Daphnia pulex: one gene and its partner. The protein of the gene in region 1 interacts with the protein of each later gene in a pairwise test. Links are inferred from orthologs where the notes say so. Each region holds a gene or a part of one and is shown on either strand. Other genes may lie near its edges. The genes, in order: WW domain-binding protein 11-like and growth factor receptor-bound protein 2.

Region 1 (3,926 bases):
TTTCTTTTTGAAAAAATAAATATATGGATCGTCTCTTTTCTCTCAGAGGGAGGCTGAAAGAAACTAAAGAAAGATTCCGAAAAAATTGCGTAAGTGATTATCCAAGAAAGGCAACGTTTTACTAAGCGATTCCTATTTTTTAAATTCGACCAAAATGTCAGAACTAGATTGTTTCGTATATTGAAAAGTCAAGAACAAAAAAAGTTACATATCGCTTACATAAATCCCTGCATTTCTTTCATAAATTGCGAATAAGCGTCGTCTTTTGTTTTGACGGGAGGTTGAGTTACTGTTGCGGGTTTGCTGGCGGTTGCAACCTACGAAAAAATTCAAATTCTGTAATACAATCTGTAATTCTATGTTCTATCACATATACGTCCAAGGTATTTTACATTACTGTTAAACTAAGCAGTTATATCATACCTGAACTTGAGGAGTCCTCCATTCAATATGAGGATTGGCACTTGATTTGGCCAGATCTTTTTTGGGTGGCATATCTTTCTTCACTTTCAACGTAGTAGGAACGAATCTTGTCAAATCTGCGCTTAGATTACGCATTTGAGGCTTGGCCTCGATAATGGAAGCAGTAGGTTTCGACGATGGCTTAGACGGAGCTCCAGCACCTAGTTGTGGACGAGTGCTAAGCATAGATGGTGCACCCGGGCGTATACCTATATGATTATTAATTAAGATATGAATAATTCCGACACAACGTTTTTAGTTTTAATCGCTTAACCTGGTGGCGGTGGGGGAGGCATGCCGGGAGGTCGAATCAGACGTGGTGTTAATCCTTGTGGCATTCTAGGTGGAGGACCAGGCGGTAGTCTCGATCCTGGAATTGGCGGAGGAGCAAAACCACCATATCCCATTGGCGGAGGTGGGCCCATAGAACCATAAGGTCCATAGGAAGGCATCATCGGAGGTCGCGGGAACTGTGAAGGGTGAGGTGGCATGTGCGGAGGGTACTTGTTATTATCCGTCGAAGGATCTTCGTCAAAATCTCCCGCTTCCATCCTCGCCTTTCGTGTTTCATGAGTTACTTGACGGTTCATTTCTTTTTGGCGATGCAAATAGTCCATCTCTTGAATAACTGTGTTGACATCTTGACCAGCAATGGCTAACATTCGCTGTTGAAGTGTTGTAGGTCGAGGGGGCTCGGGAACTACTGGAGCCGATTTAGAGGCTGCTTCCGAACTGTCCTCGTCGCTATCATCATCTTCGTCCTCATCGTAGTCGTCATCCATTTCAGCATCTTCTTCCATAGCGTCTTTGGGCAATGCGATATCTTCAAGGGGAGGACGAATGAATTGGTAGTATGTGTGATATGGAGGGAGATCTTCTTCTTCGTCGTCAATTCCAGGAACACCAGGTTCCACTGTTGCTCCATCACCCTCATCCCAAATGTCATATATTTCAGGGGGTGGAACAGAAGGAACACCAGGTGGTTTTCGGAACAATCTATTTATTTAGATTATAGGGTATTAAAACTTTGTTTACTCTAATCTGCAGCAATAACTTACCCATAGCTGCTGATTTTCTTTAAAATGCCTGGAGGGGCTGGAAGTAAAGAGCCTGAAGTACTTGATGAATCCAGGTTTGGCAAGGGGATCTCTTCCAGGTTTACTGTTTGAGTGTGCTTTACTGACTCACAGTAGATGATTAGTTCAGCTCGTCTTTTTTCATACTGAACTTCCATTGCTTTGATCTGAGTCCACTGAGTAGGTTCTTCTTTTTCATAGAGTCTCATGATTCTATTTAATGTATCCCTTAGCTTTTTCCTCTTTTCCTTTAACACTTTTTCACTAAGTGGTGCAGATTGAATTGGGTTGAATTCCATTTGATCAATTTTTTCAAGTTCTGAAAAGATGGTAGTTGGATCTTTCCCCTTTAAAACAGTCTGCCTAACGAGCAGCCTTTGCTTTTTGTTTTTCTTCAGTTCTCGTCTCCTGGCCTCTTTTCCTGTTAAAAAAAGCTAAAAGTGTTAATGCCGAATTAAGATCATCTAAGTGATTCAATCATATTGGATATTCACAATAGACAATTAAAATGTCACGATCATAACGAGTATTAAGCCACCGTAGTAACTATGTTAATTTTCAAACTTTAGTACATGAAAGTTGCATGAGATAAAAATTTAAAAAAAAACTTACGTGCTTGATCTGTTGGATTCATAAATTTCCCACTTTTAGTGGTATTTATTGAGCGTTTCCCCATTTTTAGCTATATTATTATTTTCACGAACACAAGATGAAATACGACATCAACAATTCAACACAAGCTAAAAATCAAACTAGTGAAATCGTAGTTATCGATTTAACTGCTCTATCGATACTGAAACAACCGATTACTTGTTGCCTTGGTTATCTTTGTCTGCTTTGAAACCCATCCCCTTGTCTCGTGTTTTGTTTTACCTGTCAAATTTTTCATCTTGCCTCGTTTTGATTTTCTGTCAAGTCACACAGTATCCCTTTATCCCGTTGTAATTTCAAAGATGGAACAAATTCAGAATCTCCTGCAGAATCAGATATTAAAGGCTGCCGAGGAAAAACTCGATGCTGAGTATTATTTCATACAACGTATTTTCGGCATGTAGAATTATATAGTATCAATTTCCTCTTCATAAAGAATCGACAAATTGGACAATTTGACGGAAGATGACTTGGAAGATATTCGGAGGAAACGAGTACAAGAGATGAAATTGAGGCAGCAGAAAATGCAGCAATGGAAAATCAATGTAATTTTAACGATTTATATTTTTAACTTTAATTTTCCTATCCTGTACATTATAATGAGGGATTTACTTTCAAGATCAGTTGATTGGGAAAATTACTGATAATAATGTTTTCTTATTAAGGGGCATGGAGAGTATACCGAGATAGCTGAGGAAAAGGAGTTCTTTGAGATGGCAAAAAAATCTTCAAACTTTGTTTGCCACTTCTACAGAGATGACTTCTTTCGCTGCAAAGTTATTGATAAGCATCTTAATATACTTGCAAGGAAGCACATGGAAACTAAGTTCTGTAAGATTAATGCTGAAAAATGTCCCTTTTTAACAGGTATCTATAATCAATTATTAGTCAAAAATGTTTTAAAGTTCTTATAATGATTGGTCCCATTTTTAGAGAGACTGAGGATTAAAACTTTGCCAACACTGGCATTAGTGAAAGATGCAAAAACCAAGGATTATGTTGTTGGATTTGGTGAATTAGGCAATACTGATGACTTTACTACAGAAGTATTAGAGTGGAGGATAGCTCATGCTGATGTAATTGAATATTCTGGTGACCTCTTGGTTCCACCTGGCCAAGCTACAAAATCAAAACTGAAGATAAAAAACAAGAAAACAATTCGAGAAAATGAAGACGAAGATTCTGATTAAGCTGCAGCTATCCTCCATATTCCACTGATATTTTCAGTATTTTCGCTTTCAATAAATTTCACATTCAGCTTAATTGACGAATCAAAGGTTTAACCTCTTGCCGGTAAAATGAACTGTCCCTTCCATGGGTGATTTCAAGTATTTTAGCGGCCTCTTCGTAATATTTTTGTGCAACGGAATCATTCGTTGTTGATATTAGCAACGTAATTTTAAAGAGTTTCAATAGCAGTATAGCTGTTAGGGGATGCTCTTCTCCATACCATAACTTGTACGCCTGAATCAGGGGGATTCCATATTGAATTGCCGCTTCCCACAACTGAAGTTGAATTGCTGAGTCAAAAGCTGCATCCATAATTTTCGATCGGACAAGGCATACATCATGAAATAGATTTTCTTGTTTTGCAATGCACAATTTGCAAACGTCTAAATCTGTCGAGCGAAATAAGATTTCATCACTTGAAAAATTAGAAATAAAGAAATATTAATAAGACCCATCGTACAATTTGTTTCCTGCATTAACAACAGCTGTTGCTCACTAAATTCGGAA
Region 2 (3,926 bases), on another chromosome or scaffold:
GTCGAAAATCGAGGTTAGAACAACATAAACGGAAAAAAACTGAAAAGAAAGCAATTTTACAAACTGCTTTCAATGAGAAATGAGATGCAATCCTGTCAATCCTAGCTGTTCATCACTTTTACTGTTTTGTTATCAAAGTTAGTAATGTGTTTAGGTTCGAAGTCGGCAAAAATAACTTGAGTCTTAAGAACGGACGCACCACTTTAATACAAAAAGAAAAAAAAAATGAAGAAAAATTTATGAAGAAAAGAAAAGGAGCAAAAGAAAACGAACGAACAGTGCCTTCGCCTTTTAAGTATGATACGGGGCAACGTAAGTGGCAGGAAAGAGGCCGCGGCGGGCGCCAATTTCTCCAGTCCACCAATGTTGATCAGAACGGTCTGTCACAGTTATGACGTCGCCTCGCTTAAATTCCAATTCACCTGGTTCTTGCGGGGTGAAATCGTATAGTGCCTGCACCAAGAACTGTCGAAAATTCACACAACAATTGTTAGTCAATCCTGAGCCTAAAGGCATGGAAAAAAGAACAACTGGTAACTCACCTCTTCAGGCACCATGTCTCGTAACTTTATATCCTGAGACCGAGAAACAGATGTGGAGCGATGGTAGTCGACCAGTTCGTTGAGCGAGTTGAATTTTACCACCCACAAAAAGAACTTCCCTTGGGCATCGCGAAGTACTTTGAAGTGCTGGACACCATCGCCACATCTGCGAGACAAGAAAGAAAAAATAGAGAATAGCCTATTAACACAGAATGCACGTAACAAAGTATTGTGTAAATTTCAAACTAATTTCGAACTACAAGGAAGTAGGATGATGGCTTCCTTAGCTATAAACAAAACACACTCATCCTACAACTTAACGGGCAAAAACCTCAAGAAGGAATAAATAACACAGCAGGGCGATGAGAGAATTGTAAAAACTAAAAATGATGCAAAACTCCGGTTCAAGGCACATATATAGTTGCTTGATTACGGACGGTGGCTCAGTGGTAAGGGAACTTGACGAAAAGGCCTAACAGATAGAAAACAGAATGTACCCTAGACACGCCTAACAAGGCTAATAAAATACCAAAAAGGATAAAACTAATTACTGAAAACAGTAGGACTGACGGTTCATGAATCACGAGTCACGACTTAAGCAAAGGGTAGTCACTGCACGAGTTCCAATTTTACAAGCTGTCTTTGTTTTTTTAAGGTAAAACAAAATAGACAATTGAGATTCATTCCACCTTTGAAGTGAATAAAATTGGAATGTAAACGGATGTGTGCGTCATCAGGTTGACTCATGCACTGCATTTGGAAAGAATTCTTGCGTGATCAAATCAAATTTCTACAGAAAACCAAATACCCATGATTCTTTGAGGGAAATAGAAATAAACTGTACGTTCGGTTCATTAATTTTCTATTCAAACGCGTCTTCCTAGTAAGGTAGAACTTGTATCGTACAGTTTGGAGAGCGAGATTATAAGATATTTGATTTTACACTGATGAAAGCCTGCATGTTTGAAATTCTTTTCACGCTTCAAATGTACGTGTAGCGTCTAATCAGGATATCTGAATGCAAAGCGATATTTCTCAATATGTTTTTATAATGTGCTATTTCTACATAAATATTTTGAGAAATCTTCCCGTTTTAGGCAGTTAACGACTTACAAGCTTAGTTAATAGATGTCAACTTATCTCATTCAGATGTTCTAATGATAAGTAGTCTGGTATGCCACAAATAGATTTCAACAACATTTGAGAATAGGCAAATAATAACATCAAACATAGTAGAAGAATTCCTATGGGGCATTTCTAAACTATCTAGAGCTCTTGGTTAAGGATTTACACTGTCTATGTTTCTAAACAAAATCTATCACATTGTTATTTTAAGAACTAGATAACATACTTAACAGACAGGGAAAAGTCTCCCGGTGAGCTCTCACTGACTCTAACAACAAAAGCGCCTTCATGTTTGTTGCCCAAGAGTTTCTCTGCATCAGCTCTGGTTATTCTTCCATAGTACCAACTGTAGAAAATAAAACAACAAGTTATAATCAATATGCATTATTTTATCATAAACATTTCAACTAGGCTTACTCATGATTTTTCATTTCAATGTAGTTACTAGGAATCAACCCTTCTTTTCCATCCAATTCTGCTCTATACCAATTCAGATCATCTTCCATATTCAGAATCTACATTTGAATCAAATGAACAGGTTAGAATATTGCTATAAGCAAAAATTCCTTAAATTCTGTTGAAAGCATCATTGCTTGGTTTACCTTGAGAACTTGCCCTTTTCGAAAACTAAGCTCATCTTCAGCAGTGGCATTAAAGTCATGTTTAGAATTGGCCTCCATCTCGAAAATAACACGTTTTATGAAATCACAGATGATAAAGTATTTCTTGGCAAAACAAGCTTCAGAGAAGGAATTTCCTTTTCAAGGCTAGGCCGGATGTGCACCACGGCTACGTTTATCAAGTGAAACGGTTGTTGGCCAATCACCAAAATGTTTTGACTTCGTTCAAAGTCGAATTACACTTCTCGAAACTCAAAAACGAATAGCATTTCCCACAAATTGTTTGACAATATTGACTATCAACTGACGTATCCGTATCCACGATTGTTTGATTAACTATACACTGTTTTCGGGGCCCGACGAAAGCCAGACAGCCATAATTTTGGGAAACAACTTAGTTCTTGGCTTTGACGCACGAGCGTCACCAGTCCTTTTCTCCCAATGGAATTTTAAAGGTAAATGCTTGCGTGCCTGTAAACGTTTTTTATTTTTTCTAACTATTTTTTTTCCAAATGACTGAAATTATTTAAAATATTATTTCAATTACAGGAATATACATTTTTTATAATACAACATAATAGATGAATATTTTAAGATTTTAAATATTTAAATTTCCGTCGAATTCTTTTGGAAAAAGCAATGTGGCAACGTTATCTGCCTCATTTGAATAAATGCAAATGGTTTTCAAAAGGAATCTCGACCCAGAGATTCAGACCAGTCCGGACTTGAATTTAGAAAAGCAACGTGCAGTTCCTTTTGACTAATTTTATCGACCAAACCCTCTTACAATCTTATACAATTATTGTCAGATGATTTTCTCTTATATTGCACTGTGATTATTACAAAAATGAAGATAACTTTATATTTAGTGGCCATAATTCTCCTAGGAACTGGTAGTCATTCTAGTTTAGTAGGTTGGATTTTAGGCAGAGACAGCTCCCCTTTTAACATTTTGAGTAGTGAAAAACAATTTGATAAGCTTATGGCTGTAGCAAAAGAAGATGATAAGATTGAAGTTTCTGAACCTGATGAGAGTGCTGTGCAAGCAAGGTCTGATATTCCATTTGAGCTGTCTGTAGCTGATGAAAAATTCATTGCCGATGCACAGAAATATACTGACCTTAGTCTGAGCGAGCTGGATGTTTGCCAGCATAAAGTAAGTAAAGTACTTTGATGTTGATTCAAAGTACAATCTCACTGTTCATTAATATTAATGAACTCGTTTATAGTTAATCCTTCAATTGAAGCAAGACTGCAATGATCTCTCAGAGGAAGATTTGTCTAAGTTGGGTGTGAATCTTTTAAACTGCCAATCAAGATTGGAAGGGCGGAGAGTCTACCCATGCTCCTCTTCAATGGCAAGTTTTCTAATTAATGTATCACTTCAGCTAGTTGTAGCTAACCAGTTTATATTTTTTAGACTTTAAGGGAATGTACTTCTGACATGGATTCCGACACCTGGAATGCCTACCATATTCTATCCAATAGAGCAAGATCAGTGTGCTACGGTGCCCGCCAACAACAGTTTAGAGCACTGACTCAAATGACAGTCAACAAACTCATGGCCAGTTCTAGTCAACAATTGGGATTCATTAGAGAGCTCAAGGTTGGTTTCTTTATTGATTTTCATCACAACTGT

What was found.
Region 2: the proteins of WW domain-binding protein 11-like (region 1) and growth factor receptor-bound protein 2 interact in binary tests that used the Homo sapiens proteins (3 or more experiments, as listed by UniProt). The link is inferred for Daphnia pulex from reciprocal best matches to the Homo sapiens genes WBP11 and GRB2.

What each region holds. Positions count from the first base shown.
Region 1 is NC_060017.1:96,751-100,676, forward strand, and holds WW domain-binding protein 11-like, read right to left. Parts: upstream 2,311-3,926; 5' UTR 2,215-2,310; coding exon 2,151-2,214; intron 1,960-2,150; coding exon 1,521-1,959; intron 1,459-1,520; coding exon 737-1,458; intron 672-736; coding exon 424-671; intron 318-423; coding exon 216-317; 3' UTR 158-215; downstream 1-157. Other genes in the region: thioredoxin domain-containing protein 9-like, read left to right, coding at 2,492-2,559, 2,626-2,734, 2,855-3,056, 3,123-3,379; histone-lysine N-methyltransferase SMYD3-like, read right to left, coding at 3,444-3,808, 3,880-3,926. UniProt on the Homo sapiens protein: Activates pre-mRNA splicing. May inhibit PP1 phosphatase activity.
Region 2 is NC_060028.1:9,115,282-9,119,207, forward strand, and holds the start of growth factor receptor-bound protein 2, read right to left. Parts: upstream 2,744-3,926; 5' UTR 2,348-2,743; coding exon 2,270-2,347; intron 2,183-2,269; coding exon 2,085-2,182; intron 2,014-2,084; coding exon 1,894-2,013; intron 709-1,893; coding exon 543-708; intron 466-542; coding exon 292-465; 3' UTR 1-291. Other genes in the region: protein brambleberry-like, read left to right, coding at 3,135-3,443, 3,517-3,645, 3,708-3,893. UniProt on the Homo sapiens protein: Non-enzymatic adapter protein that plays a pivotal role in precisely regulated signaling cascades from cell surface receptors to cellular responses, including signaling transduction and gene expression.